Regions from separate parts of the Mus musculus genome. Here regions 1, 3, 4, 5, 6 and 7 are each reported to be linked to region 2. The links are microRNA targets in miRTarBase. Many come from high-throughput screens and were not tested one by one. Region 2 holds a microRNA gene; each other region holds the end of a gene's coding sequence.
The links. Region 2 holds the annotated microRNA mmu-miR-1192 (AAACAAACAAACAGACCAAAUU, at 2,888-2,909, opposite strand). A microRNA usually pairs through its seed, bases 2 to 8, with sites in the 3' UTR of a target mRNA and lowers its output. Matches are read on the target gene's strand: a 7mer-m8 pairs with bases 2 to 8, a 7mer-A1 pairs with bases 2 to 7 and ends in A, and an 8mer does both.

Region 1 (4,164 bases), not on the chromosome of region 2:
AAACAAACAAACAAAACCTGAGAGGGAGCTTAGAGGGCCACAGTCCTACAGAGACACAGCAGGAACAGCTGAGCAGAGAGATCATCTGAAATGGAGCCCCGGGGAATTGGGAAGGGGGCTTCAGAAGGGCCACGCCACTTTCAATTCAGCATGCCCTGAACTTAGGCCACAGATCCTAAAGAGACTGTGAGCCGCAGAGTGCCCTTTCTAGCCTGCGCCATCTTTGCTGAAAGGGAAGTCTTTGGCCTGCCATGCTCAGCCCAGGGCTGCCCAGTGAGCGAGCGATTGAGCAAGCTTTTGTACACAGGCATGTCTGCAGGGGGAACAGGGCCACTGGCTGGAAAGGAAGTTTAGCGTTAAGCTATAACCCTGAAATCAGGGATTTCATCCCATCCACTCTGGGCCTCCCAGCCCTGTGCTTCAGGACTTCCTAATTTGGTCTGTTTCTCAAGATGCCTGAATCCACATTAGAGCTTCAGAGAATATGAAGTGTAGGGGAATTCCCGGTCTCCAAACAGAGCGAGCACTGCTTTCCGACCCACCGTAAGCTGGGTCAGTCTGTAATGCTGACGGACAGGTTAAGAATTGCCTGTACTTTGGCAAAGCAGAACTGAAGAAACGGTTCTCAATGAGATCGTCTAATATCCCACAAGCCACTGTGAGCCTTTCTCCTGTGTTTTATATCTTGTTTGACAGTGCTGGGGATTGGCAACAGTGCCTGGCACATGGTCGGCAAACGCTACCACCAGACACAGCTTTCAAGTCTTTGAAAACAAGGGCCCCACGGTATAGCCCAGTCGAGGCCTGAACTTTTAGTCCCTGCCTCTGCCTCCAGGGTGCTAGGGTTATAGGCATGTGCCACCATGCCTGGTCCCCCCTTCTAATCACCTAACAAAGAAGCTTTTGGCCCCTAGCGTGTGTTGAAGACGACTTTATATTTTTTACTCTCCAGGGTGCTAAAAAGCTTTTTAGGGCTTATATAATTAAAACAAAATAAATAAATAGACTTTACTCTGCCTAGTATATTTTCTTAATTTGCCAGTTGTGCAAGCTACATTCTTATTCTTGGCGGAGGATCTTCGAAAGCTGGACGTTGTGAACATTTTCCTGGTAATGGTGATGACTAAGAGGCCACTGGCAAACACTGCTTAGAGGGCTAGTTCATGTCCCCTGTACGGCAGCTTCATTTAGCAGGGCCTGTTATTCAAGGCCCGTCTGCCAGTGTGCAGGGAGGGACAGCCACTGCTCCTCTCCTATGCCTAACATACAGCACAGCACAGGACACTTTAAAAATATGCATGCTTAGAAAGATGACAGGGGAAGATACAGTTCCATGATAAAGCACTTGCTTAGCATGTTCAAGACCCTGGGTACAATCTCAGTACTATTAAAAGAAAAAAAAAATCAGGGAACAAGAGATTTCCGATGGAGACCCTCTTAAGCTTTCCATACTGAAAATAAGTCAATATAAAATGAGCGCACACTGATGCCGCCGTAACACTAGCAAGAATTCCTGCGTTGCTTCTTAAAATGCAAAATTAACTTCCCTTGCGGAAGACGGCTAAGCTGACATTGGTTATGACCCTTGAAGACACTTGAACATGACACTATGTCTACTGCTATGGGCTTTGCATTAAGCCACTGTGACAAAATTCAGAGCCCAAATGATTGTCAAGCCATTTCTCCAACCACAGATAACTTCTGTCTGCTTGTGGGTTGTTGGGGTTTTTTTTCTTCTTTTTTGTACAAAATGTTAAAAGACAGTAGGCCTCAGAATATAGCCTAACCTAAGCACCGGTTATAATAAATGCATATTGACAAAAATGTGATTTCTAGCTTGAAAAGACATTACTCACTTCCCTGGGGCTAAAAGTTACAGCACATGGCAACACACTGCTAAAGGAACACTGTTTTTAAGATCTATGGAGGTTCTCCATGAGGCACAATTCATTGCTGAAGTCGGCTCATGCAATGGTTTTACAAGGAGGGATATGCCTGTGTGCTAAATAGTGCACATTTACCATGAAGACACAGGGTATAAGATTAAGGCAAAAAAAAAAAAAAAAAAAAAAAAAAGGCATCAAAACTTGAGTGGACTTGACTTTGCCTGTTAGATAGATGGAAAGAAGTCACTAGCATCAAAGAGGGAAATGTCTATTTGGGGATTAACGCCCTCAGGGTAAGTCCAGTCTGAGTTCATAGAATTTTGCTTTGTCTTGTGGACCTCCCCCCCTGCTCCCCTTCCCAGCATTCAAGCAGTCTTTGTTTAGAATATTCCCAGGGGCTGGTTTGGAGAACGAGCCAGAGGACTCTTTACGGCCGGCCCGTTCTGTTTAAAAGCCCATCTCCAGTATGAAAGCAGTTGCTGTTGCTGTTATTTTTAAGTCTCTAAAAGGGTGCCGTGCCTTTAAACAGGGAAAACCTAGGCTCTTCACTCTCTGGCTGGTAATGTGGGCTTCTGTCATCTTTTAACAAGATCAACTAAACCTTTCCCACATCCCACTGGTGTGCGGTTCAAATAAATAACAGAAGTTGACTTTGCTTTAGAGACTCATCGGCCCCGGGGTGGACGCATGCATCCAAGGCCAGCTCTGAGGGAGGCCACGCTGCTGCTTTTGGTATGAGCATAAGGGACCATGCTGAGGTCCTGGGGTATCCAAACACCGGGGCAGCAGACAGCACGGCAAATCTTCCTTAGCCATGAAAGCTATGACCCCTGGCCCTCGTATCCTCAGCCTTTCCACCCTGACTCAAGGTTTGGTTTGGGTGTTTGATTTCTAAGAAAAGGACTGTTTGCCTAGTGCACTGCTGTCCTTAAACTCTGGGCTCAAGTGATCTTCCTGTCCTGCCTCCCACTAGCTGGGATACCCCATGCTTCCACTCACTCCTTGTTTGAAGCAAGAACTCACATAGTCCAGGCTGGCCTCCAAGAGGCTATGTAGTTGAGGGTGACCTTGGACTTATGGTCATCCTGCCTCCACCTCTGGAGAGTTGAGATCACAGGCATGCACTCCAATATCCAGTGTTTGTAGTTCTGGGGGCCGAACCCAGGGCTCTGTGTACCGGAAGCACTCCCCAGTAGAGCTAGGTTCCCAGCCCCTACCGAGTCTGAAGCTGGCTTTTAGACCTAGGGCTCTGTTTCAAAATAAGAGCCTACATTTCTTTCTGTAACTACGCTCCTCCCCAGAGGGTCTTATCTGGATATGCCTCAGGGGAAAAGCGGCAGAATGTAGAGAACACATGCATGAGTCCGTCTGTAACTAAAAGGGAGTTCGGAGCCCCAAGTGTTAGTGACGATGACTCAGACTGCCCCCTTCAGTAAAACTGCTGATACTGAAAACTTAAAACATTAACTAGGTCATAAAAACATCAAACAGGAGCTGGGAAGATAAACCCACACAGTTGCCACAAAATTAGAAATGTCACAAACTTGGGAAAAGCAAAGACGACGACGACAGCTAGATGAACTCAGGCTGTAGAAGCACAAGCCAGACCCAGCAGCAGCTCTAACGGGAGCTGGCAGCCAGGTCGCAGGGCAGAGCTGTCTTGTGACTCCCTCTCCACCAGCCAGGCCGCAGCAGCAGCAGCAGCAGCAGCAGCGGCAGCGCAGCGGCGAAGCGGGGACGATGGCAGCAGCAGGCATGTGCTTTGAAACAATTACTTCTCTCTGCAAAGGGGGGTGGGGGGCATTATTTCTGGATAAGGCAAGATAATGTGGTCACGACAGAAGCAGCCAGACTCGGATCTGCACAGCTCACGGGACGGCTCTCAGTCGGTCTTTCCCAGCTTTGCGATCAACTCGTCACAGATTTTTGTCAGCTCCTCAATCTCTTGATTCTGAAAGACAGAAGATGGTGATTTGCTTTGTGTTCTGAGAGAAGAAGCCAGTGGCTAGACCCTCCGGAGCATCCTACTGGCTCTCCACTTCTCTGTATCACAGTCTTTATAGAAAAGAAAGCCAAATGCCACCCACCCATCAAAGTGTGCCTGTGTTCACACAGTACTATGCTAAAACTTAGCTGAGGGTGCAAGAGCCACCAATTCTCTTGAACCTTGCCCGTAAACCTTAGGTCCCAGGTTCTCTGGTTGTGTGAGGGTCACTTGCTAGAACACAAGTGTGCGGGTTTCACTTAATCTGCCAGCAGCTTCAGGGACTGGGATTCC
Region 2 (4,164 bases):
GGTGCATTCATTGTTAAGCCGGTTAAGTGATAGCTCCCAACTTTCAGTTTCTAAGTAATGGGTTTTTGTCTTGTTTTGCTTGTTTTTTAATGTAGAATACCAAGCCTGGAGCTGTAAGTAGCACACACCTGAAATTCCAATTCTTGAAAAGGCTGAGGTAGGGGGATGGTGTCCAACGCCATCCTTGGTAGCCTAATAAATTTAAGTCTAGCTTGGGCTACAGGAAGCCCTGTCTCAGTAAACAAAAAGCTATGCACTTTAAGCTCACTCCCTCTGAATTTGCTAACACCTCCAAGACCTTGGAGTGCACACGGCGGCCCCTGACCTCTCTGCTTGGCCATCTTTGTGCAAGTGCAGAAGTAACAAGCCTCAGTACAGACTCTGTACTTGGATTGTTTCCTGAGCACAACGCATCATGGACGAAGCCCAGCGGTCCATAGAGGGCCAGGCTGCTGCGTTTTGAGGCTTACGTGGGTCTTTTCTACTCGCTACTGTTATTTTCAACCTTATGCTTGTGAGCCCTGAATGGGGCTGGCAGAACAGTGTCTGTGCAGATGTTAGAGGTCTCTAGGGAGCGCCAGAGCTCTGTATTTCCTCTTAAAGTCAGACCAGGAAGTGCTCAGAAAAGGCTGCTACCTCCCAGCCACGCCAGACCAAGTGCAACTTGTGGAAGCCCAGGTTAGGAAGGTCCTACTGGAACGGCACCTGAGGGGCTGGCTTGTTGTGGTCAAGTGGGACCCGGGTTGAGACGGGACTAGGTGCCACCAGAGGAAAGCAATGTCACAGTGCCCAGAATCTCACTCTTCAGCATACAGTGGGTGTGTGACAGCCAGTGGAGACCACCAGGCTGCAGGGATGACCCTTCATGATGCCAAAGCAGCCTGTGAGTTTTGCTATTCCAGATATCAACCAGGGAAAGAACGCGAGGAATCCCAAATTAGCATGGCTGTCTTGAGTTTTACCTCAGAAAGATAATACAATGTAATGTGTTAACAAGCTGTTTCTATAATTCCAGCACTTGCGAGGCTGAGGCAGAAGGATCACTGTGAGTTTGAGGCCAGTGTAGCTGTAGAATCGTATCTTTACAAACTCACTGATCCTAAGAACTCTTATACTGCCAAGATAGAGCTTTGCTCCAACGGGGGTGGGGGGGGGCGGTTAGTAACTATGCCCACTCTACCAGCTAGCTAGGTAGGTTGTGACAGATGAGGCAGACAGGCAATGCTATGCCATCATTTGTCTCCAGCTTCCCCCCTGGGGACTTCGCATTGCTGGTACCAGGGTATGGCTGTGGTGACAGAGTCTTACTCCACTGAACCACTCATTTCTGCAACAAAATGAGTCAGAGATTGGCCTGATTCAGTGTTCATCACCAGAAACTATGAAGGTTGGGTCTGAGCTCTCCAAACATGAGGCGCGCCCCCCCCCCCCCCGCCTCCTGCCCACCATGGGATCTGGACAAGTGACCCAAGCCGGCCTTGGATGCTCTCAGAATTCATCCCTCCTGCTTAGTCCTCCCGAAATGCTCAGGTTAGAGGCATGCACTCCACGCCCAACTTCATTCTGCTACTGTCTTTGAAACTGTAATGATACAACAACTACAACGGAATTACGGCAGCCCAGGAATTTAAGTCACTTTGGGGCGTGTGTGTGTGTGTGTGTGTGTGTGTGTAAGCTCTATTTTCTGTTTCCTGTATTTACTGTGGTGTTTCTGTTGAGTACGGTGCACATTGAAAGGACTTTGGAATCTCGATAGGAACCACTACATAAATGGCTCATCTTTACAGAGACCTTCTCTATTAAGTAACACCTGGGATAATAAATGCTCACGTAAATGTGATTCATTTCATCCCTCAGAGCACTGGAATAGATGATGTGAAAACCCTGAAGATCACACGGCTGCTTATAAAACTTGTCCCATGTGAAGCATTTGTTTGGTCTTGGTTCCCCAATCATCTCCTCAGGGGGGCCTGTGAGTGCATGAGCACTTGTAAAATATGTTGAAATTATCTGTACTCTGCCAGGTCCTTTCTGTCCATTCGCTCAGAGCCTATCTTTTCTGCTAAGCTCAGGAGAGCAGAGAAAATAAATGCTGCTCTTTGGCACAGCCTATTTGCAAGCCTAAGTGGACATCGGTGTTTGATTCGCCTTGTCTGGCCTCTATCTTCCTCTACTGGTAAGGAACAGTGCACCTTGCTTCCCTTTGCAGCCAGTCCTTTCTCTGAGCCCACACCTTCAGACCTGAGAGTCTTGGATAAATAAGTCTGTTTTCATAAGGGACACACCACTTAAGCTTAGCCGTGGCTTTCAGCCTGGGTTGTTTGCTGGAATCATTAGGAATGGGAAGTAGTCTTTCTGTGGGGCTTTGCTGAATTGGCAGGAAGTGAGTCTGGTGTTGCTTGGCAGCCATTTTAGTACCATTCAGAGACAGCCTGCTCATGAATGAAGCCAGAGCCAGCAAGAGGGTGGCAAAGCCATAGAGAGAGGGGGCACTGAATGTCCATCTGCATTCAGCAACTCCTGAACTTGGATCTCCATTTTTAATCTTTTTTTAAGTTTTGCTAAGTAGCCTAGTGTGCCCTCTAACACGTGGCAGTTGTCTGCTGCCTAAGCCTATCAAGTGTTGGGATTATAGGTGAGAGACACAACGCCCAGCTCAGAGCAAGTCCAAGTCTGGACTTTCTTGCTTGCAACCTATTTATGGATCCCAAACCCAGCCCCTGGCAGGTGTGGCAGCACTGGCCTGTCATCTCAGCAGTCTGGAAGCTGAGGCAGAAAGACAGCCTAGACCATAGAGTTGCAGGCTGGCATGAGCTATACAAGCCAGACCCTGTCTCAAAACACAAAAGCAAACAAACAAAAAGAGCAAATCGAAACAACAATGACAAATTTGGTCTGTTTGTTTGTTTGTTTTTACTGTTTGGAAGGAAATAGTTTCGGGTGACAAGGTCAGGAGCAGTTATTTTTGTTGACTTTCCTAACTAAAACTCATGAAAACTATCTTCACATCAGACCTGGGGCACAAGGAAGACAGCTTAAGATGGTGGCTCTAGGGCCAAACCCAAAAGAGCCATAAGAATAAATACAGAATCTCTTCTCACTGGGAGCAAGCCACTCAACAGCCCTCACGTACAACTTAGACCTTGAAACAACAGTAGGAATATCTCAGCATAACCTTGGACGAGTCTGATTCCTCCTGTTTAAACAAGAAAAGCAACACACTTCTATTCGGTCTTATGGGATTAACATTCAAGTGAAATGCACGTAAGCCACTTAGCTCAGGCTCTGAGACATACTACATGTTCAGGACGATAGTGCTCACTAAGTCTCAATGGCTGTCGCCATCTAACACACCTTTCACTTGTCACCATTGCTCAGCACCATCCTGAGTCCACCTAGAATTCTAAACAAAAATTCTAAGGCTCTCAAAGGTGTCTGGGATATGTATGTAAAATATATATTTTTTAATTGTAGTAATCCTCAGCAAAAGGTTGGCATGCATAATCTTTTAAATGACTCATCTGAACGTGGCCTCATAATTTCATGAATATATATAATTATGGAACCCCATTTGACAGGTGAGAAACCTGAGGTTTCAGGGAGATAAAAGCTTTGCTTGAGTCTTTGTGATGAGAGTTATGGAGTCAGGGTTAGGTTAGGCCTGGGCAGGTGCATGCTCCCATCACGGTACCTCTGTTTCTATGGTGAAGGTAAAGGCTCTTCTGGAAGCCCCTTGCCTTAGCTAGAGCTCCTGAGAAGTCACTCACTATTCTGATGGGCCAGGGCCTTGTCGTCACTAACTGTGATCTTAGCAGAGCTGATCCCCTGTAAAGGGCAGGTGCTGAAGTCCCCCAACCTTTCTCCCATTGTTCTGAGCCACAATGATCTGCAGTGTTGGCACATGCCTTTAATCCCAGCACTTGGGAGGCAGAGGCAGGCGGATTTCTGAGTTCGAGGCCAGCCTGGTCTACAGAGTGAGTTCCAGGACAGCCAGGGCTACACAGAGAAACCCTGTCTCGAAAAACAAACAAACAAAAAATAAATCAATAAATTTCAGGGGCCCAAGACACAGTGCTAGCAGCACTCAGGAGGCCCAGGTTCCATCCCCCAACCCCAGAAAACACTTTCATTCACGCAAAGACCCAGCAGCTCTGGCCTGGGATG
Region 3 (4,164 bases), not on the chromosome of region 2:
TTGCATGTAGACGGGACCTGGCCTGTACTCAGGACCTGGTTTGCCCTGTAAATTCCAAGCCAGCCAGGGATATATAGTGAGACTGTTTTAAAAATGAGAGAGAGAGAGAAAAAAAGACCAAAAGGTAAAATATCCATACAATGCAGCATATATTTAATTTCAAACAGAAATTAGCAATATTTGCAATAGGAATTTAGTGGAGAATCTCTCTTAGCAAGAACAATCAAGAGAAACTTGCAGAGTTCCATTGTATAACAGGATAAACACTGATTTGGAATGAGACCCAAGTTCCAGCCCATTTTTCTGGTCCTGATTGGCCAAGTTAAATAAAAACCTCAAATATGAGTATCCTAAGTGTTTCACATGTGAATGATCTCATGTACTGCCCCCATGTGTGTGGGTGTGGGTGTGGGTGTGTAAAAACAAGGAAGGAAAGGCAGCAGGATGGGATTTTGTAGTGATTAGGAACAGGGGTAACAGCCCAAAGACCTAATTCAAGATCTAAGCCTGAGCTCCCTTCTAAAGCAATAAATCAGCTTTTCAAGGCTCTATTTCTTTATTTAAAAATGGAGATTAATCATCAGAATATCTTTGTGATTCTGTTCTGGATTAAATGAGGTAGTGCATGTAAAATAACATTCAATAATCATTGTAGTATAGTATATTCTACTGAAAAACTAATGAAGCAGGAAAGACAAAACCGCTCCAGATTTGTTAACCTAAAATCCTGATTTGTGAAAGCAGCAGGGCTCGATGGCTGACTGTGAGAAGGGCAAGCAGCGTGCCACACCAATATTTTGAGTGTGCGTAACCTGAAATATGATCCATTATTTAGTAACTATTTATTATGCCTCTACTATGTGCCAGAGTCTATGCTAAGAGGCTGCCATAGCCTCTTAAAAAACCCTCACAATTGACTCTCTAAGTACAAACATTATCTTGCTCTAAAAAAAGAAAAGAAAAGAAACGAGAAAGGAAAAGAAAAGGGAGACATGGAGAAGTTAAAAATAAATTGTATAAGTAAATTCAGAGAAATACCTAGTTTGGGAAGTTTAGACAGGTAGATAGGCAGGCAAACATCAGACAAGAGTTATAGTATCAAAGCCTACTCACATAGACGGATAACTACTAACAAGATGTTTAAATAAATGACTAGGGGTCTAGACCTGAGTCATCTTTAGAAAGCATGTGGTTAAACAAAAGAATGCAGTGAGTGGTCTATGCATGCCTACAGTCCCAGCTACTGGGTTGCATGGGCAGGATTATCATGTGAGTCCAGGATAACCATGCGACAGCTTGATTCCAGTATGGACAACACAGTGGAATCCAGTCTCAAAACAGAAAAGAAAAAAAAAAAAATCCCACCCTACAAGAATAAGTAAATAGCCACTTAGACTAGAGAGACATGAAAAGGAGCCAGTAAAGGAAATACTGAGATAAAACTTAAGCCAAGTATGCAATGCAATGATCTGCATTTTTACAGAATCTTATAAAAAGGCAATCATTAGTTATAGAGAACAAAGAACATGTGGGGCCAAACAGAATGGTGTATCACTATAGTCTCTGCATTGGGAGGCTGAACAGGAGGATCTTGGGAGCCACGATGTTTAAGACCAGCCTGAAGAGCATAGTAAGCCCTAACTGCTGAGGCGCCTTGCTGGTGTCCTGGATAATGGCCTTGCCTGGATGCCTACATGTGCTTCAATGCACTTGTGTCTGGAGTTCTGGTTGCAGCTACTCTCCCAAACAAGTTTTTCTCAGGACTCCCTCTTGTGTTTTCCCCGAGGGCTTCACCATATCTTTCTTCTTGCATGCATTCATTTTGTAAATGTGTCCAAAGACTTTTCTGTGGGGAAGGCACTATCAGAGGGACAAGAAGAGACACCCAGATGTAAGTTTTTCATGGCTGTGCCATGTCAATTTACAGGATAGATAACTGTACAACCATCAGCAGGTAAGAGTGAAATGCCACAAAAAAGATAGAATGCCTCACTTCTAGAGAGGTGAGATTAAGAGTCTACAGAATTTGTGATGTGTAAGCTATGTATTTAAGTTTCTCATGGTCTGTGTCATGGTAACTTACAAGATAGATGACTGTACAACAATATGCAGGTAATAGTAAAATGCCAAAAAAAAAAAAGACAGAAAGACCTCACTACCTCACTTCTTGACAGGTGAGATTAAGGAAGAATTCATAGAGTTAGCGATGTATAGGTTAGGTATTTAAAATATGTGGATTATTCAAAATATGTGAATATGTGTGCGGTGGTAGATGCCTTTAATTCCAGCATTTGAGAGGCAGAGGCAATTGGATCTCTATGAATTTGAGAGTTCCAGGGCAGCCAAGAAACCCTGCCTCAAAAACAAACAAACAAACAAACAAAATTAATATAGCTGTACATATGCATTCTTTTCAAAGTTTAAAAATCATTGATCTAAGGACGAGAATCGATCTTCGGAGACTGAAGACAAGTCATGTATCATCATGTGTGTTTCTTGTAAAAGGCAAGCATGACCTGCACAGAGACATGCTTACTTGGGTGGTACTTGTGTGGATTTCCTTGTTTCTGTAGTGCTGAGGTTGAACCCGGGCTTTGCATACTAGGCAAGGGTTCATCATGTAGACTTTCTTAAGAGTAAAAGATGGTCCAAAGATCGCTGTAAAAATTAGATCTTCCTTCACCAATTCCTATTTAGAATGGCTCTGTTTTGTTTTTTTGTTTTGTTTTTCGAGACACGGTTTCTTTGTATAGCCCTGGCTGTCCTGGAACTCACTCTGTAGACCAGGCTGGCCTCGAACTCAGAAATCCGCCTGCCTCTGCCTCTCAAGCGCTGGGATTAAAGGCGTGCGCCACCACTGCCCTGTGAGAATGGATCTGTTTTACCATTTCAGTTTTAACTCTGCACAAAAATCCTTCATAAATTTGTTCTAGGCCAACTGGGTTTTAATTAACACAAGCTTTTCTAAGGTCACTTGTAACGGCTTGTGTTCTCATGCTAATTATGTTACCAAAAATACCTGTTTGCAGTGTCCCACATTTAGGACTAAAGGAAGCCTGTCCCCAGTTAGTTTTTGACTTGTCAATAAAATTACCAGCGGCCAATGACTGGGCAGAGACAGAGGTGGGACTTTTAGGATTCCTGGGAAGAGACAGAGAGAGTAGGAAGAGAAGATTTTGCCACAAGAGGGGCATAGGACCACGCCAGAAAGATACAGAAGGGAAAGACCGCCGACATGTAGGTGCAGGGGGAAAGCTGCCCAGGAGGGCTGCCCAGCCAGGTCCAGGGCACAAAGATAATATATAGATTTTAGTAAGTAATAACTCAGGAATATTGAAGTGGAGTGTGCGTTAACCAAGTGGAGTTAGGGAGTGGCCCGGCAATTGACCTGCTTAGGGCATATTAAAAATAAGGTTGTGCGTGTGTGTCTTTCACTCGGGAATCCAGAACATTGTGGGTGCATAGCGCCGAGCGCATGTGCACCACCGGGGAGTTTTGAGCGATTTAATTTTTTTACCGCGGCAGTCACATGGATATCTCAGATTCATAGGACTTGGCAGTTTCAAACCAGATTTCTTCAACGGCTTTCTGGCCCATGTCGAACAGCTGCTGTAAATGCTTCCATCCGGTTTTGGCTGTAATCATGAGGTACTCTTTGTTCTCTGGGTACAGCTGGCAGGAGTATGCAGCCATGACGAGAGACTGGCTAAAACGACTGCATACAAGTAAAAACAAAGCCTGCCTCTCTACAGCCGTCAGGGGGATCACACTTTCAAACCCTGCGAGGATGTGACCTCCTACTTGTATAGGGTTTGTGCTTTCAATCATCATGTACATGATAACGATTGCCACTTCAAACACATAGTAGCCATAGCTCATGTCACCGAAGTCTAAAATCCCAGACACTTGATGCACACCTTCTCCAGAGGCTGACTTGCTGAGGTCTACTAAAATGTTATGGTCATTAAGATCACCATGATTAATACCTGAAATCAGAAAGATCATGTAAAAAGTTATTTAAAATGCTAACTCATTCTCTTTCTATCTTTCTTTTAAAAGCACAGCCATCTAAATAATTTGATGAACAAGCAGAGATAAAAGAACAAACTATTTTCTGAAAATAAAGCCATTTTCTCTGGGGGGAGACACAGGGTCTTATGTGCA
Region 4 (4,164 bases), not on the chromosome of region 2:
ATGAAAACTACTTGCCTCAACCACTTAAAAGCCCTTTTCTAAGAAGGGTCGTTGGTTTGAAATAGTTGTTCATGTCTACAACAATGCCATCCTAGATGTATCTGGTGTCCTCAGAATAGCTCATTTCCCTCTTGATTTCCCCTTTGTCTAAAGTTTTACTCTACTTAATCCAGATACTTGGCATTTATATTTTGTTCCTTCCTAATATTATATGAAGAGTTACTGTTTTAGGTAAGGAAATGTGTAAAATCCTTAAAAAGAAATATTTCTTTTTTTAAAATTCATAACAATACATTAAAAGAAAAGAACTACAAGTATTAACATAAAATTGTAAAAAAAAAATCCTACTGCAACACAATTGATTTTTTTTTCTTTTTGACCCAGGCACTGCTGTCAGATTTACCTCCAGAATTAGAAGAGATGGATTGCAGTCATGCCTCGCCGGATCCTGATGATACCTCACTCAGTGTGTCTTCTTTATCAGAGAAAAATGCCTCAGACAGCTTGTGATTGGGAGTGGGGGATATGATCTAGTCTGTTGATTGCCTAACAGGTGTGCATTTCAAGATAACTGTACTGTTTCCCAAACAGTCTTCAACTGGAAAAACACATTGTTAAAGCAAACATATGCTGTGAAGGAATGACAAGATATAGTGGCTACAATACAAAATAAAAAGCATGTACAATACTTGAAATGGTTTGTTTTTAAAACTTATATAAAATCCTAGGAAATTGTATTTAATTTTGACCAACTCCACTATGAAATCTATTATATCTGATTTCTGAAAGATTTTTTTGCTTATTCTTTAAGAAGAATCTTAATTTTATCCAGAAATATAGAAAATAAGCATATCACAACATTACTAAGTTGGTTAGTTTTATTTTGTAGCCATTACATCTTTCTTCCTACTTCATTTTCTTATCATTCATATACATTTTTACTCAGGAAAGTGGGCTAAAAATTTACAACAGGCCTAATCATATATTTAACCTGGATGAATCCTGGGATTTATTTTTCAATTCCGATGAGAATTTGACCTAAGATAATGATTGAAAATTGAAGCACTTACTAGGACGTAATTGTAAGTTATTGGTACTCCTGACACTGGGGAGAGGGAAAAATCCTCTGAAAAGTAGAATCATTGTCAAAATGTCAAAACATTTAAGTACATAAAAACTGTACTTTTTAAAAAACACTTTTAATCTCAATTCTTGTATACAATAAGTGATAAGTATTGATGATTAATATTCTACCATATAGTAAATTTATATAATTGAGTCAGACAAAATATTGCACAAATACTTCAAGTTTATCAACATTTTCATAATACTTTTCATATCTTAAAATTTGTGAAACAGGAAATCAAAGTATGGTACTGGTATCTGTTTGTTTTTATTTAATTCTAGACATACAACTTTGCCACAAAGTTTACCTCATTTCCATATGAGGCCTGCACAAAGCCAACAATAATGTCAAAAAAATAATTATATATAATACTTTGATTGTAAATCAAAGTCCTCTGGATCTCTTGGATGCTATTCTATGAATACACACCTAAAATGAGCATGGTACCCAGTTGTTACTATTAGTAGGTACCAAATGGCAGCACACTGTAGACATCTTTTTGCATCTTCCCTTCTGGAATACCAGATGGTATTACTAAGGTCTGTCTATAGATGGAAAAATACTAGTTTCTGCCTAAACTCACAATGTCATATATTTGTAACTAGGTTGTGTGGAACTATATTACACGATTAAATTATTATCTATTCCTGAAAGATGCATGAAGCATCTAGATAACTGTTTCAATTATCAAGTTTCAGATATGTTTAAGTTTCTTAACTACAGCTATTCTGATCTCAGAATTTACTGATACCAATTTATGATTCCAGAAAGGCCCTTATTAATCCCTCTAGCTCAGAAATGTCCTTTCTCATTACTATATACAAGTAAAGTTCACTGATGACCATTCAGTTCATCAAATGTTTGATTTTACACTGTTGCCACACAACCTCTATGGCTTCCTTGTCAGCAGAAATATTTCAGTAGTCAGCTAATCATGTCCTTTAGCTGAAAGTCATGTGGTTCTTTGCAAACAACTTCTGGTAGTCCTTGCTGACAAACCAAATTCCATTCAGGGAAAAGACCACTGAGCCACAGAAGCTCAAACATCTAGATTAAGCTCTTCAGTCACATAAATTTCTCCATAAAATAAGAGTCCTCCCTACATACAACAAATACAGAAACCCTGATTATTTTATTATATGGAGGATTAAGACAAATTTTCCTGTAGCCCAATCTGGCCTCATATTTCCAATATAGCTGAGGATGGCTTTGAGTCCTGCTGTTCCTGCCTTTGTTTCCCAAATGCCTGGATGGCAGATGTGCCCCACCACACCTAGGTTCCGTTTGTTTGAGTAGGAACCCATTTCTGGTCTCAAGTCTCTCTGTGATCTTCTTTAGTACCATTGAGTTTCTCTTTAAACTGCTTCAGTTTAAGACACTTCCTAGTTGGTTTTCATTACAGAACAAATGAAAACAACAAAAAATTATTTTCACATCTTAGAAATGTGTTACTACATTAAAAAAAAATCCTTGGAGCTCATTAAAAATATCCTTGGAGCTCTCGCTATAGGAAAGATTCTGTGGCAGACACTGGAATTTTTAAATAATCTATGGACTATAAAAAGAATTATTTCAGCTGGGTACTAGGACACATAGTAACAACTCTAGCACTGGGTAGCCTGAGGAAAGCTGGCCTTCAAAACACAAAGAAATGTCTCCTGTTAACCTTTTCAAGTCTATTAATAAAAGTTTTTCAACTAGCAGTTATAATTAATTTAAGGATTCTTATAGATGTGATTCTTAGAAAGAATGTTACATCTGTAATTTTGGGAGGATGCATAAATTGTTCTATTCCTTTTTAAAGTTTCATTTAAATAGAAGCTGTGGGTCCTCACAGTCTAGTTAGGACTACTTTTATCCTGGTGTTTTTCTTCTAGCCACAGGATTATATCTTTTATGAACATAGGAACTAAAACATTTACAAATATTAAATGGAGGTGTTCTTTGTTGTTGTTTTGGGTTTTTTTGTTTGTTTGTTTGTTTTAACATTTGTCCCTTTTATTCACAAAAATTAAGACTTACCCCTTTGTTGAACCTCTTTTCTTTATGATTTTACACAAAGGACCTTGAGATATATCAATTATAAAACCTCAAAAAAATCTTTAAAGTTTACAAACAGGCACTTTTTACAAGAGTTTTCTATAAAATCCATCAATGTAAAAAAGACACTGGACTAAATTTAAGGCATGTTCAGTTGTCATTAGAATTATTTTTGTTTTGTTGGAGACTTTTCTCTCCTCTCGTCCTGACTTCTCTTTGATTCTCTAGAATGTTCAGGGCATCTGCTAGGCTTTTCCCAGCGTCTCTTGGCACCATTCTGACACCTGTTGTCATCTCCTTTATGGTCAGAATGCTTTCAACTCCTCTCCCTTGACTTGAAGCGATCTTTTCTTCTGACATTATCACTGTCCTGATTTTGGGTTCTGTGTTTCTCATTTTCAGAAAAAGAAATCTTTTCTCTCTCACCGCTTCTTCTTTGGCTCGCCATGCTTGTCTTCTGGCTCTCTGTGTGAGCCTTGTTCTCAGCCATTGCCAACTCTGCTGTAACTATTCTCATGGCTTCTGTCTTCCATGTGCTCTGCTAGGGGATCTTGCCAGTCTGTGTCTCCTGAGTTCTGAGTTCTCTGTCTTTCAGACCTTGCTCTCTCAGTCCTCCCTTCCTGGTGTCTTTGGTCCTCCCTGCCTCCTCCTAGCCTCCTGTCACATGCCTGGTGGTCCCTGGCTAACTTATCTACTTCTTCCCCACCCCGCCCCCGGCCTTGCCTTGCCTCTTCTTTGTACCTTTAGCTGAGGCAGATCTCTGACTGCCAGAGGAGGAGGAGGAGTCGCTTGCTTCACTGGAGGACTCTGAGCTGCTCTTGCTGCTGTTGGAATCTGAGTCAGAGGAATCGGATGCAGAGGAAGACTCTGAAGATGAAGATGTCAGTGCTGATTTCTTTGTTCAGCTTCTGGTTTCTGTACTACAATGACACGGGCATATTTTTTCAGATGTTCTCAAAGTTCATCAGTCAAACCTCCGAGACATGGAAGTGAAGAAA
Region 5 (4,164 bases), not on the chromosome of region 2:
CTGATGGCTCTGTGTGCATCTGAGGTCAGTCTGGGTCACACAGTAAGACCGTATCTCAAAAAAAAAACAAAAAAAATCCAAACAAACAAACAAACAAACAAAACTAAAGCCAAAACCAAAACCAAATAAAACCAACCAACCAACCAACCAACCAACCAACCAAAAGAACCAAGACATACAAGATAAACTCAGACCCTGTCAGTCTAAGGGAAGGCACATTTGTATGGACTAAGATGGCCCCTTTCTGTGTCTTCTGAGCCACTGCCTTTCTGCTGTTATTTGACAACCCCCACCTTCATGTGTTTAGACTGAGTCATGCTCTTACTATCACTCACAGAGAAGTAAAAGTGACTCTGATAACATTTCTGTGAGAAAACACAAAATCTGATTAGTAGTCCAGTTCCTAACTTCGTAACACTCTGACTCAATACAACTAAGAACATATAATGACATTTGTTTTCAACACTAAAAAAACTTCTTGCATATTTTCTAGCCATAAAATATCTATGAGATGTAAATACAAGTCTGTTTGGTCTACAGTGCCGACAGCACACAGAACAGGTGTTAAGTGACAAGGACAGAGGTCAGGCTCTTATCACATCTGAGGGCACCCACATGCCATACAGAACAGAAAGGTGCCGGTTGCTGCTATCAGAATGGCATTACTTTCTAACACAGAACCCAGAGTGGACTGTAATGAGAGTCTACAGGAACCCCATCACAGGCACCTCTGCAACTGATGTGTGCTACCCTTTCTCCATTTTAAACAATGTTCCATCATCAGCACTGGACCTTCTCTTAATCAATAAATTTCCCAGCTTATAAACTTTTGGGACATTTCCCAATGAGTTTTGTTAGGACAAAGGAATAAAAAGACCACAGGCAACACTAACACTGGGTTATGATGGAGGAGGAACCCATTCATCACAAACTGCTGCAAGGGAGAGGCTTCTGTTACAGAAAAACCACAGGGGCACGCATCAGGCACGGCAGTGGTGACCTGATTTCACTGGGCATCAACTAACATTAGCAAAGCTACTTGAATTTTTCTGTTGATCTTCACTGTTGTTAAATAGTGATAGTTTTGATGGTGGTAAAACTTCATTTTTTCAAGTGCAGGATGATCTGAGCTGAATGAGAAAAAGAATGATTAAGGAGGGAAGGAAGGCAGGCCTGACATCAGTCTGACAACTGTTTCTCCTCTGATTTGTTTGCTTGGTTGGCTTTTTTTTTTCTTCCCCCAGACAGGTTCTTACTCTATAGCCCAGGCTGGTACAGAACACACCATGAACCCCAGGATGGCTTCAAAATCAGAGAAACCTTCCTACTTCAGTGTTCATAGAGCAGGGGTTACAGGTGTGAGCCATCACACCTGGCTCTTCTCAGCATCTTATTGTAGAAACACCCACATTTCCAGTATTTCACCCTAATGTCATTGTTAGGTCTCAGGATTACATAAGACCAAAAGGGACAAAGTGATAAACTGGGATTGAAGCCATCACTGTTGTAAAATCCTCAGTCCCATGACAATAGGATTTCCTCAGATTCGAGAAATTTAAATATAAACAACTACATATATAGGTAGTTAAGTAATATGTTTTATAATTAATGTTTTAAAATTAACTTTACAATTCTATGTTTTATAATTGTTTGTTTAAAAGTGGCATACTTAATTAAAAGAAGATTGAAATTTGGAGTCTTCTAAAGAAAAACACCCAACACTTCATCTTCGCTAACAGACACTGAGTGACAGTGTCTTCCACACCAAGCAGTGGAACTTGTGACCTGAGGTACAAGACACACACACTGGGATCAGCTGTGCTGATGGAGGAAACACCTCCATCCCTGAGCCACCAGCTGCTGGAATGCAGAGCACTCCTTCTCCAAATGATGTATTCTCAGTTCAGATGCTGCGCACAGGAATTGACGAGCATGGTGAAAAGGCCAGAGTCGATTTTCCACAGTGTGCAACAAACTGTAAACTCCAGCAATTATACTTAGATACCTAGGCTACCACTTAATCTTTTTTTTTTTTTTTTTTTTTTTTGGTTTTTCGAGACAGGGTTTCTCTGTGTAGCCGTGGCTGTCCTGGAACTCACTTTGTAGACCAGGCTGGCCTCGAACTCAGAAATCCGTCTGTGTCTGCCTCTGCCTCCCGAGTGCTGGGATTAAAGGTGTGTGCCACCATGCCCGGCTCGGCTACCACTTAATCTTGTTTCCACCTTTTCAAGTTTCTTTCCAGTCTAAACATTTTGTCTGTTAGTATTAACCATTGTAGAATTAAACAAAGAAAAATCCAAATTGTTTTACACATTTTGAATTAAAATGATCACAAAAACTAATATCTGTTATACAGGACCATTGCCCCCAATCCTGGCCGCCCCTGTGAGCTCTCTTTCCAGCTTGAGATGTCCATGTGAACAGTTCCTGTGGTCTCTGCCTTCCCCCTGCACAGCAGGAAGCACCTTCACTTTGACTTATTTAATCAATATTAAGAGGCCAGTACTCTTTACAAGGAACACAACTTGTCCTAAGAGCAGGCTGGGGTCAATGGTGGCCCCTCAGCATCAGTCACTGAGTGAGTATGTGAAGACATCTATGCTCCTGACAGTCGGCTACTGACTGACACTGGCTGTTTGAAGACCTGTGACACCCATCTCCTCAGGAGTGTCAGAGAGCATGAGAATACAAGGTGAGAGGCACATGACTGCGCTAACTTCAGCACCTCTGGCACAGGGTTAGTTAAAATTAAAAAGAGAAAACCACTAAAAAAATGAAGTCAAGAAAAAAATTACCTGCAGCCTTCACTTACTCACGTCAGAATTAGTCCCTTTTTATTGTAGTTTAACTGACAACCAACTGGACCAAGACTGGGAGCTACATAGTGCTCGTTTTCAAACACTCCAATGACATTCTTCAAAAATTTTATTATCTCCAGTTTTATAGGACCATATTATGATTTTCACACTGTTTAAATTTCCCATTTTCAAAATCCAAAGACCAAAAAATTACCACGTATTTTCTTATACAGTCAGAATAGGTTTACTGGAATGTTTTCGGGTAGAGCTGAAGGCAGAAACATTTACAACACTTAGCTTTTGTTAATCCATAAGTGTGGAAATTGCCTGCAAAGCAACTACAATATGAAAAGAATGGCATTCTTGCAAATACTGATAGGATGGTTATGCATCTCTTGCAGCAAAGAGTCAGGACTCTACATAGGCTTCCTGGTCACCAGACTGACTCTCACTTAGATGCAATAATGTCTTTAATGCAACTGAAACACAAGTATGGGGCATTGTTATCAGGGTTCAACTATATATACAAATAACAGACTGGCAAGTATCTAGTTTCAAATTAGATCCTTGGAATAAAGCAAAATAGAGATATTTCTACATCAAATATAATTATTCAAAATGCATTTTGTTAGTTGGAAAGGTGATCATTCGATATTCTCAATGCTCCAATTTGAATTGGTACTTGCCTTTTAGTTTCTTGAAAAAGGAAATTTGAAAGTTCTATACATAGGTTTCATTTACATTATGCAGCAATCTTTAAATATTATTGTCCCAGATCTTGTTTAATGAGGGTCTCTGTCATCAAATCAAGTACGGAATTTCACAACTATAAGAACTGTAAGAGAAAAAAGTAAAACAAAACAAAAAAAAGAGAGAGAAAGAGAGAAAAGAACAAAAAAGAAAAAGAATGCATGAGAATCAGAACCGGGTCACACTGAGGCAGAAGCACAGCCCTAAGCGCACGCGTTGGCCACTAAAGGAGAAATGAGGGCCAGACTCGGAGCTAAAACAACAACTATGAAATAAGAAGAATGCAAAAAATGTCATCAACAACACAGCTGTCTAACACAGGCCTCTTGAGCAAATAAACTATGACAAAACAGTAAAAATATTTCCACATTTAACAATATAGGAACATAATGCATATAATATTAGAAATAACGGATGTGATCTTAGCTTTTGAAAATCATGCTTACGTATCAATAGGAAAAGACTGAAAGCATATACTTTTATTAATCTAGTTCTGTTAGTATAATAATTATATTGACAGCAGCTAGCGCCATCGTGAGAGTACAGTGGACTGTATAGTCCTTTTTATGCTCGTCTGCATTTTGCATGGTATCCATCTTGTTATCTGTTCTACCAA
Region 6 (4,164 bases), not on the chromosome of region 2:
TAGGTGTACCATGAGTGTGCCTAGTGCTCACAGAGGTCAGAAAAAGACATTGACTCCCCTGTAACTAAAATTACAGATGGTTATGAAACTCCATATAGGTACTAGAAATTGAATCCAGGTTATCAAGAGCATTCAATGCACTTATGACTGAGCCATTACCACCACCACCACCACCACCTCCAGCTTGCAAAACCACTAGGATCAATATCTGAATGACAGCCGGGAGGTGGTGGCGCACGCCTTTAGTCTCAGCACTTGGGAGGCAGAAGCAGGTGGATCTCTTGAGTTCGAAGCCAGCTTGGTCTAAAGAGTGAGTTCCAGGACAGCCAAGGCTACCCAGAGAAACATTGTGTAAACACTGAAAAAAAAAAAAAAAGACAACAGAAATAAAACAAAAACCTGAATGCAGTTGAATAAGGTTTATTATGAGGTAGAGACAGAGAAACTGAAGAAGACTCAAATCGCACCCTTTTCATTTCCTTCTTCCTAACCCAGGAGTCAGTTTTGGACTCAGTTATAGTGCATCATGTCTTGGGTCACAGCGCATGTGGGATGTTCAGATGCTCTGCTTGGCCCTAGGGTCTTAGAACTTTCAGAAGTAACTCACTTTTCATTCTTTTCTTGTCCTAGTGACCAAACAGATCCTTTTAACCGTAGTCCCCTTACCATGGACCAGATCCGGCCCAACACAGAACTGAAAGAAAAAATCCAACGGTGGCTCGCAGAAAGGAAGCAACAAAAGGAGCAGCCTGAATAAATACTGTGAACTGCACATGCACGCCCGGGCGTGAGCTGGTGCTTGTGCTCGCTCGCTCGCTCTCTTCCTGCCCCCCACCCCCTGGCTCTGAGCCTCTTCTTTTTCTTTTCTGATTTGTTTTGATTTGTTTTGTTGGGGTTTGGTTTGGGTTAGGTTGGGTTTTTTTGTTTGTTTTTGTTTTTTATTTTGGTTTATTTCATTCTTTGTTGTTTAAATTAGAAAATTGTTCTTGTGCAAATTATGATAATTATGATTCTTAAGACCTTGTTCTTTCCCTGGCTTATAGAAAATTCTCTTCCTCACAGCATCTTTATAAATCATCACTAATTTTAGCCTCGGTTTTCCTATTCTCCTTGTTTCCTTTTCTATCCTAAATTATATTAAGTCCAACAACAAAAATGTCCTGCCATTTTTTTCTTTCCCTTCCCAAGTACTGTTCAGACATTTTTTTTAGTGAGCACTGCTTTTAAGTCTATGATGTCAGCTACTTCAATGACAGTAATAACATCCAAAAATCCTACTGTCCTGTGTATTTACTAGCCCATAAGGTCTGGACTTAAGCATCTGGCCTTAATATAGCTCTGTAATATTACAGAGTAACTTTCCAGATAAATGCAAATACCTTAGTGTGTGTATAGATTTTTTTGGCTGGTGGAGATGAGGGAATCTTATACAACTTTTGTATTATCTTGTCACTTAAAGATACGATCACAACAAACACTCCTATGAGGATCTCACCACCAAAAACATAGCTGCACAATCTTTCAGTGAGTGACAGTAATGTGTGGAACTTGCAGTAAAAGGATAAATGAGAAGCTATTGGGCCCCTTTCTCTTTTGTGCTCCAAGGTCTAGGCCTAGGTAAAATAGGCAATAAATATTCTATCTACATGAAAATGTCATTTTAGGACACTTAAAACAGTATATCTCAGTGTATATGTGTTAAACACAGATACTGTGTCCTTTTTTTATTAGTCTCACTTGAGTGCCACGTTATATCGTGTCTTCCCAGGTAAGATTTATGTAGTTGGTGGCAGTGTTTTCTCACTTGTTCTAGTCAGGTAAAACCCTAAGACTACAATGTACATAGCTAGTGTTTGGGCTGTGACCTGGCTTCTAAGAGCTGCTTCTTATCTAGCCTTAGTTTATCAATTAACAAAGTAGACATTAAAGCAAGCCATTTTAAATAAATACTTCTCTCTGGGTAGTTACTAAGTGATTCTGCCCACTTCTCCCAACTGTTTGCTCTAAGAGGCCCAGTCCTCTGCGGGATGTTTTCATATCAGTGTCAGCCCAGAGGTGTAAAGGACAAGAAAATGTGGCTGTGGCTTCTTTTACAGAACATTACTGTTACAAAAGAGTATACATATGCAAAAGCGCTGTTTCAGTATTCCAACACAAGCTGCTATAGGCAGTCCTTTGTGTGTTTTTTCTTGTTGGTGTCAACTGGAAAACTTGTGATTAGAGAGCATCTCACTCTGGCTATTGAAGAATGTACCTGTTGTGAACAGGGAAGCCTCGGGCATATCTATAAATGCCGGAAGGTTAAGGCAGACTCAGTGTGCCCCTGGGCATTTAGCTAGATGTTGACAGGATTTCTTTCCTTTAAATGAACTTCATTTCCTGTATGCAGCATTCTCCTCTCCCTCTCTGGGAATGGACTGCATATGAAATAAGCTTCTACCTGCTGCTCTTACTTTTCCAGAGTGAATGCGGGAGGATGCTTTTACGCTCTTATTTGAAAAAGAGGGAAGACCCAAGTTTCACAAGTGAAAAATGGAGGAAGATGGGTACAAACCCTTGAGAAGACAGCTGTTGCCAGCAGCTTTCTAGTGAATGGGCTCCGTGCTGCCTCCAGTGTCTGTATTCTGCTTCTGAACTGAACCGTCAGATTGTAAGCCTGTTTTGGCAAGCTTGTGTTTTGTTTTGTTTTTAAACTCTTCTGATACTTTCCTATGAATGGCCGTGACGCCACCCAAGCTGCTGAACTCCTTTAATCACAAAAGCACGTGTGTAGCTTAAGGCCACTGTGGTGAGGAAACCAAGTGTCCTCTGTGCCTTCTTTCTTTCTGTGAACTAATTTAAAGGCATCCAGAAAAAGAAACTCTAAAGACTTCCATCCTGGTACAATAAGAGGCATATGTGCATTGCAAAGGTCAAAGGGTGTCTTGTCTGGAACTCTGCAGCGGCTGTAAATCTGTTAAGACTTCTGACTACCGAGTTTTACATGACGGCTTTGCTGGAGTACTAAAGGAAAGTGAAGACTTCAGTCGGCTCACACCTCACCAAGAGGCTAATACTAAACTTGGAAAATTGTTTAGAGTTCAGGCAGTTGTTTGTTTGTTTGTTTAATATAGCTTTCCGTGGGTGTGTGAAAATTGAGGGACACTTGAGAAGTAGCATAACGAACGGTGCAGGTGAAAGTGCCAGTTGCTGCTCAGTACCACACTCTAAACGCTTCATTACTTTATTTGGTTCTGGTTGCTAAGCAGCCATTGGGCAAAGCCAAAGCCTACTGGGTACTGTGACAAGCCAGACTGATGCTAGAGACAGAAAATGAAGAACAAAACAGCAAAAAAGGTTAAACTGAAATCAAACTCAATAGACAACTGTATTTGAGACATTCCAGGAAAGTTACTTTTTGTCAGACTTGCCTGTGTGTGGGGGTGGGTGGGGGAGGGTGCTCAAAACTTGTATTTAATAAATAAGCACCTGACTTACCACCCTTGTTAGTTCTTCATTGCCGTACGGAAAGCTAGTGGCAGCCTGGTGTGGTGTGTGCCTGGAATTCCCACTACTGGTGACAGAGAATTGAAGGGCAAGGCTACCTAGTGAGTTCAAAGCCAGTCCAGGCATCTCATCAAGACATTTCAAAGGAAAGTCTGGTAGAGCTTGCCTAGCACATACATTGCTAAATCCAATCCCAGTACCACTACCACAGAAAGAAAAGATGAGTGACAGTTTCACAAGTCCTTCTGAAAACCTAGTGGGTTTTGCCAGTTTCTCAAAGGCAGGGTGCCAGCAAATGTGTATCACCTGGCTGACCTAACGCCTCACTAAAGACCTTCAGAGCAGTGCTTCTCTGTGAGTTACCTAAGACCATCAGAAAACACACATTTACAGTTCACAACAGCAGCAACATTACATTATGAAGGAGCAACAAAAAATCGTTTCATGGCTGGGGTCATCATAACATGAGGAACTGTATTAAAGGGTGGCAGCGTTAGGAAGGTTGAGAGCCACTGCTCTAGAGGTACCCTCCGGCTGTCTTCGGGAGAAAGTCTTAAGAGCTTAGACTCTAATTAGTTCCTTTATGGCTTCACTATCCAACCTAAATAACAGACCTTTTAATACTTTGCCACCATGTCCTTATTCTATTCCCATACCTGTGGCATGCAGGATCTCAGC
Region 7 (4,164 bases), not on the chromosome of region 2:
CAGCATCAATTGTCCCAGTAATACAAAGGTTTCACTTTACTAGTTCTGGTATCTTGTTAATCACAGCTGATTCTTCAGTCCCAGCTAACCAGAACTACAGAATCTTCCCAATCAAAACAGCAATGGCCCTGATAAGAGTCTTTAATCTTCCCTCTGAAATTTCACAAGCAAGGCCTCCATCTTCTGCACTGTTCTCAACATTATCTTCCAAGCGCCTTCAGAACACCCCACAGAGCTCTTAACACCGAATGGATCTTCTAGCCCAAAATTCCAAAGTCCTTCCACAGTCCTCCCGAAACATGGTCAGGTTGTCATAGGAATACCCCACTATGCTGGTACCAAATTGTCTTAGTCAGAGTTTCTATTCCTGCATAAAACATGGTAACAAGAAGCAAGTTGGGGAGGAAAGTGTTTATTCAGCATACACTTTCATGTTGCTGTTCATCACCAAAGGAAGTCAGAACTGGAATTCAAGCAGGTCAGGAAGCAGGAGCTGATGCAGGGGCCACAGAGGGATGTTACTGGCTTGTTTCCCCTGGCTTGCTCAGCTTGCTTTCTTATAGAACCAAGGACTACCAGCCCAGGGATAGTACCACCCACAATGGTCCCTCCCATCCTTGATCACTAATATCTTACAGCTGGATCTCATGGAGGCATTTCCTCAAGGGAGGGTCCTTTCTCTGTGATAACTCCAGCTTGTGTTAAGTTGACCACAAAACCAGCCAGTACAGGGTGCTTTAATGCACAGGTAGGATACCTCAGTGCACAGAAGGGACACCTCAGCCTGGGTGAGCAGGCTAGGCCGTATCATCAGTACCTCCCTCCTTCTCACATGTAGAATAACCATAGGTATGCTGCTTTGGGAGGGCACTAGGGATGGAAGTGATGTTCTCACAGACAGGGTCCCAGGTGGCCCTGAGGGACAGCCCTCCTGGCAGAGTGCTGGATACATGACATCTTCCTGTCTGGTACAGCAGCTGGGGACATTCATGTAGCAGACACTCACTACAGCCTCATTCCCAGGAAGAACTTGTTCATCCCCAGGAGAGCCCTGCAGGGCCTGCCATGTGCAGGGCCCCTGCTCTGTGCTTCTCTCCTTACTCACCTCCATGACCTTCTCCTTCGTCCCTCGTTTCTTGGCCACAGTGAGACGCTCTCTCCGGTTTTGATATTAAACTTCATGTGGTATAGGGGACCCTCATGGGTGTCCTTGTCTGGGAGGCATTTAGGGGAAAGATACTGAAGCAAGGTGAAGGCTTTGCTTAACACCCCATTTGCAGGGTCAGTGCCTCCCTGCTCTGTCTAGAGGGAGTGAAGGACAGGAATGGTGACACAGGCTCTGTCACAGAGAGTGCTGGCTGTGCCAAGTGAGCAGGTCCCCAGCAGACCATGCGGGCACTAGAGGCTCGGTGCATCATCAGATGACAGACCAGGCAGGAGACACAACACTAGTATAAGGGTCTGAAAATTGCTGAAGGAAGACCCCAGCCTCAGAGAGTATGCAAAAACAAAGAGTGTTTATTCTGCAGAAACAACCAGCATGCGGGGGGCCAACCATTTTTTGAAATGGTTACCCTAGATAAAGGTAGGTTACTTTAAAAGGTAGGGTAATCTAAAATTTCCTTTGTGAGTGCTAGTGGGTCACAGGTGATTAGAGGTCTGCATTTCTATGTCATGTTTAACCATAGGATGAGATAGGGCTGCCCAGCACAGGTGGCTCATTCTGAGATATTTCCCCATTTTGTGCGTATCCTTAGGCTGTTCCTGGAGCTGGCGCTTATGGCCTTCTTTTCGGAATCAGGCCTGGTCCTTAAATGGAGACAAATGGGGTTTCTGTTGCCCTTTCAACTAGGATCTCAAAATGACAGATTTCTTCCAAGGGCTGCACCTTTAAAATAGGCCTAGGGTGATTTGGAAAAAAAAAAAATCACACACACGGGTTTGAAAAGTATAAAGAAGAACTCTCCAGCAGCAAATAACAATATCCCTTACAGACTGTCAACCATGAGTCTGGGCGTGACGCGGGAGGAGCCCAAGTCACTGTTTTGATCACTTGATGGTGAATCATGAGCTTTGAGGAGATTGGTTTGAGAACACAGGTTTAAATTTCATCTGGACATGGCGATACCTTCCTTCCCAAGGCTGGAGGTGACACCAGGCACAGCTCCTATTCACGGGCTTTCGGGTCACTTTCCATTTTGGGTGCTGTGATGAAGAGGATCAGCTATGCAGTTATTTCCCCCAGAATAGACTCCAAGTGTGAATTCACCAAACTAAAATGTGCCACCATCTTTAAAAGGTGCAGCTTACACCAGAGGGCCGGGGCTGGGAGGGGGCACTTGCTTTTGCTGGTGTGTGGGTATTGTGGTGGCAATTTTATTTAGCAAACATATATCCAGCTTCAGCTTCTGATGAGACTCTAAAGGCAGAGGAAGCCAAAGGCAGAAAAGGAGGATTCACCCCACCATCTCAGAGCAGGTCCCAGGTGGGCCCAGGCTGGAGGCAACTTGGAGCCAGGACCTGTACCACTGCCCTTTGTGGCTCCCCCAGCACCAAAACCCATGCCCTGTGCCAACTTTATCTCCCTGGAGGTCCCCGTCTATGGGACCCTTACATAGTCTTGAGTCTGTATAGACTGCCTTTCTACTGTCATCCCAGAGCCCAAGGTTAGGACTCCCTGCTCCCCCTAGTGGTAATGCGGGGACACTGTAGGAGACTCTTGGAGATGGCCTGTCCCCACTGTGCATGGCTTTGCCCCTAAGAGACTTGACTGCAGATCCCTGTCCCATGCCAGTTGTATTCTCCTCAAAAAGTCACTACCCCAAAGTCCTCCATGGATTCCAGGCCAGTTCTCCTGGCCCCCATAAGGTGGGTGGTGACTCATCCTTCTGTCTGTCACCAGAAGCGGGAATCAAACAAGCTCTATCTTACAGTCAGCAATCTGGGGGTGGGGAGGGATCCCTCTCTAGCACCTGGCTCCTGTGGCTCTCTATGGTACCTGGAATCCCCAAGGTGTTTAACTCCTTTCTCTGTGCCCAAGTGGGAAGGTGACACCCAGATGTCCACATGAACACCCCTGCTATGTTTGCCCCTTGCTGTAAGCTGTTCCCAGCTTCTGAAGGCCAGTTTCCCTCCAGAGGATACCAACCTTTCTATTCAAAGGGTTCCTCACCTCTTGGTATCCTTGCTCTTAGGGACCTCCTGTGGCCCAGCCACGGCCTCCATCTGAGGGTCTTGGAAGGGTTAGTCAGCTGGAAGACAAAGGCCTAACAGAGAGCTTTCCTTCAGGGTCCAGGCAGTGCCAGAGAAGAGATGCTGCTAGCATTCATACCATAGCAGCTATGCTGACCAGCAGGAGAATCGGGGCAGGGCCACTTGTCTGCCTTGAGGCTTTGGGGTCTCAGAAGCTCTCCTGTCAGGGAGATTGGTCACTCTAGACACAGCTCCCTCTGGTTTTAGAGATAGGAAGTTGCCAGAAAACAAACAAACAAACAAACAATAGAGGCAGGCCCAGAGCTGAGGCCCAAAGGGAGGTGTAGAGAAGGTGGCCGTGTAGCTGAGACCACCTGAGCCATTAAAACTGACACCCATGTGACAGCTGGAAACAGAACCAGCTCCTTGGCTGCAGGACCCTCAGACCCATACGACCACTTGAGGGTCTGAGGGCTGTGCTCACAAGTGAGAAGGATTTGATCCCAGTCACTGCTCAGAAGAGATGGGCACCAAGGCCTAAGAGACCTCTGATCTCTATGAAGACAGACAGAAGTCAGCCCACTTCACCTGACCCCCGGGGAGCACAAAGAATGAACAAAGGAACCCCAAACCTCTCCCCCCCCCCCCCAGCGTCCTATCGCACCAGGTGAACAGTCATTCTCCAAAGTTAAACATCTCAGCCTCTTTCTCCTTCCAGAATGCGAAGCTGCGGTCGATGTAGCCACAGATGTCTCCGCTGTTGAAGCTGCTCCCCTGGGAATCAGACCCCAGCCTCGGCGGCACCGCAGGTTCAGGGCCGCTGCCAGGAAGGGAAGCATGGGGCAAGGACCCGAGTGGTGTCAGGCCCAGCTTGCGACCTGGCTCCACGTCCCAGGGGGGACCCTGGCTGGAGCCGAAGAAGCGGGCTTTGATGTCCTCAAAGCCGTCGGTCCAGGCGCGGCGACCCGCGGC

Region 1: miRTarBase lists Tacc1 as a target of mmu-miR-1192. Seed matches in the 3' UTR shown: 7mer-A1 at 890-896, 7mer-m8 at 6-12 and 7mer-m8 at 2-8.
Region 3: miRTarBase lists Hykk as a target of mmu-miR-1192. Seed matches in the 3' UTR shown: 7mer-m8 at 2,375-2,381, 7mer-m8 at 2,371-2,377, 7mer-m8 at 2,367-2,373 and 7mer-m8 at 2,363-2,369.
Region 4: miRTarBase lists Hdx as a target of mmu-miR-1192. Seed matches in the 3' UTR shown: 7mer-m8 at 698-704, 7mer-m8 at 1,386-1,392 and 7mer-m8 at 2,409-2,415.
Region 5: miRTarBase lists Vamp4 as a target of mmu-miR-1192. Seed matches in the 3' UTR shown: 7mer-m8 at 1,970-1,976, 7mer-m8 at 93-99, 7mer-m8 at 89-95, 7mer-m8 at 85-91 and 7mer-m8 at 81-87.
Region 6: miRTarBase lists Ube4a as a target of mmu-miR-1192. Seed matches in the 3' UTR shown: 7mer-m8 at 924-930, 7mer-m8 at 3,091-3,097, 7mer-m8 at 3,095-3,101 and 7mer-m8 at 3,099-3,105.
Region 7: the mRNA of Espnl is a reported target of mmu-miR-1192. Seed matches in the 3' UTR shown: 7mer-m8 at 3,491-3,497, 7mer-m8 at 3,487-3,493, 7mer-m8 at 3,483-3,489 and 7mer-m8 at 3,479-3,485.

The regions. Positions count from the first base shown.
Region 1 is chr8:25,155,984-25,160,147 of GRCm38, forward strand. It overlaps Tacc1 (transforming, acidic coiled-coil containing protein 1), which reads right to left. Exons shown (of 13, transcript NM_177089.5): 13 at 1-3,837. The coding sequence ends at 3,769. It overlaps Mir8108 (microRNA 8108), which reads right to left and starts at 3,250; the gene lies at 3,142-3,250.
Region 2 is chr19:23,148,195-23,152,358 of GRCm38, reverse strand. It overlaps Mir1192 (microRNA 1192), which reads right to left and starts at 2,928; the gene lies at 2,808-2,928. All of the region lies in intron 1 of Klf9 (Kruppel-like factor 9), which reads right to left.
Region 3 is chr9:54,945,888-54,950,051 of GRCm38, reverse strand. It overlaps Hykk (hydroxylysine kinase 1), which reads right to left. Exons shown (of 5, transcript NM_177351.4): 5 at 128-3,986. The coding sequence ends at 3,526. Among named protein-coding and RNA genes, the nearest start is that of Psma4, 2.9 kb to the left of the region's middle.
Region 4 is chrX:111,573,619-111,577,782 of GRCm38, reverse strand. It overlaps Hdx (highly divergent homeobox), which reads left to right. Exons shown (of 10, transcript NM_001080549.2): 10 at 385-2,579. The coding sequence ends at 510. It also overlaps the pseudogene Gm7340. Among named protein-coding and RNA genes, the nearest start is that of Rps6ka6, 38 kb to the right of the region's middle.
Region 5 is chr1:162,594,015-162,598,178 of GRCm38, reverse strand. It overlaps Vamp4 (vesicle-associated membrane protein 4), which reads right to left. Exons shown (of 8, transcript NM_001356527.1): 8 at 1-3,633. The coding sequence ends at 3,605. Among named protein-coding and RNA genes, the nearest start is that of Vamp4, 26 kb to the right of the region's middle.
Region 6 is chr9:44,922,442-44,926,605 of GRCm38, reverse strand. Ube4a (ubiquitination factor E4A) reads left to right here. Exons shown (of 21, transcript NM_001346698.1): 21 at 631-3,479. The coding sequence ends at 757. It overlaps Gm30934 (a long non-coding RNA gene), which reads right to left. Exons shown (of 2, transcript XR_379340.4): 2 at 2,361-4,164. Among named protein-coding and RNA genes, the nearest start is that of Atp5l, 3.8 kb to the right of the region's middle.
Region 7 is chr1:91,345,641-91,349,804 of GRCm38, reverse strand. Espnl (espin-like) reads right to left here. Exons shown (of 9, transcript NM_001033292.3): 9 at 1,502-4,164. The coding sequence ends at 3,868. Among named protein-coding and RNA genes, the nearest start is that of Klhl30, 3.4 kb to the left of the region's middle.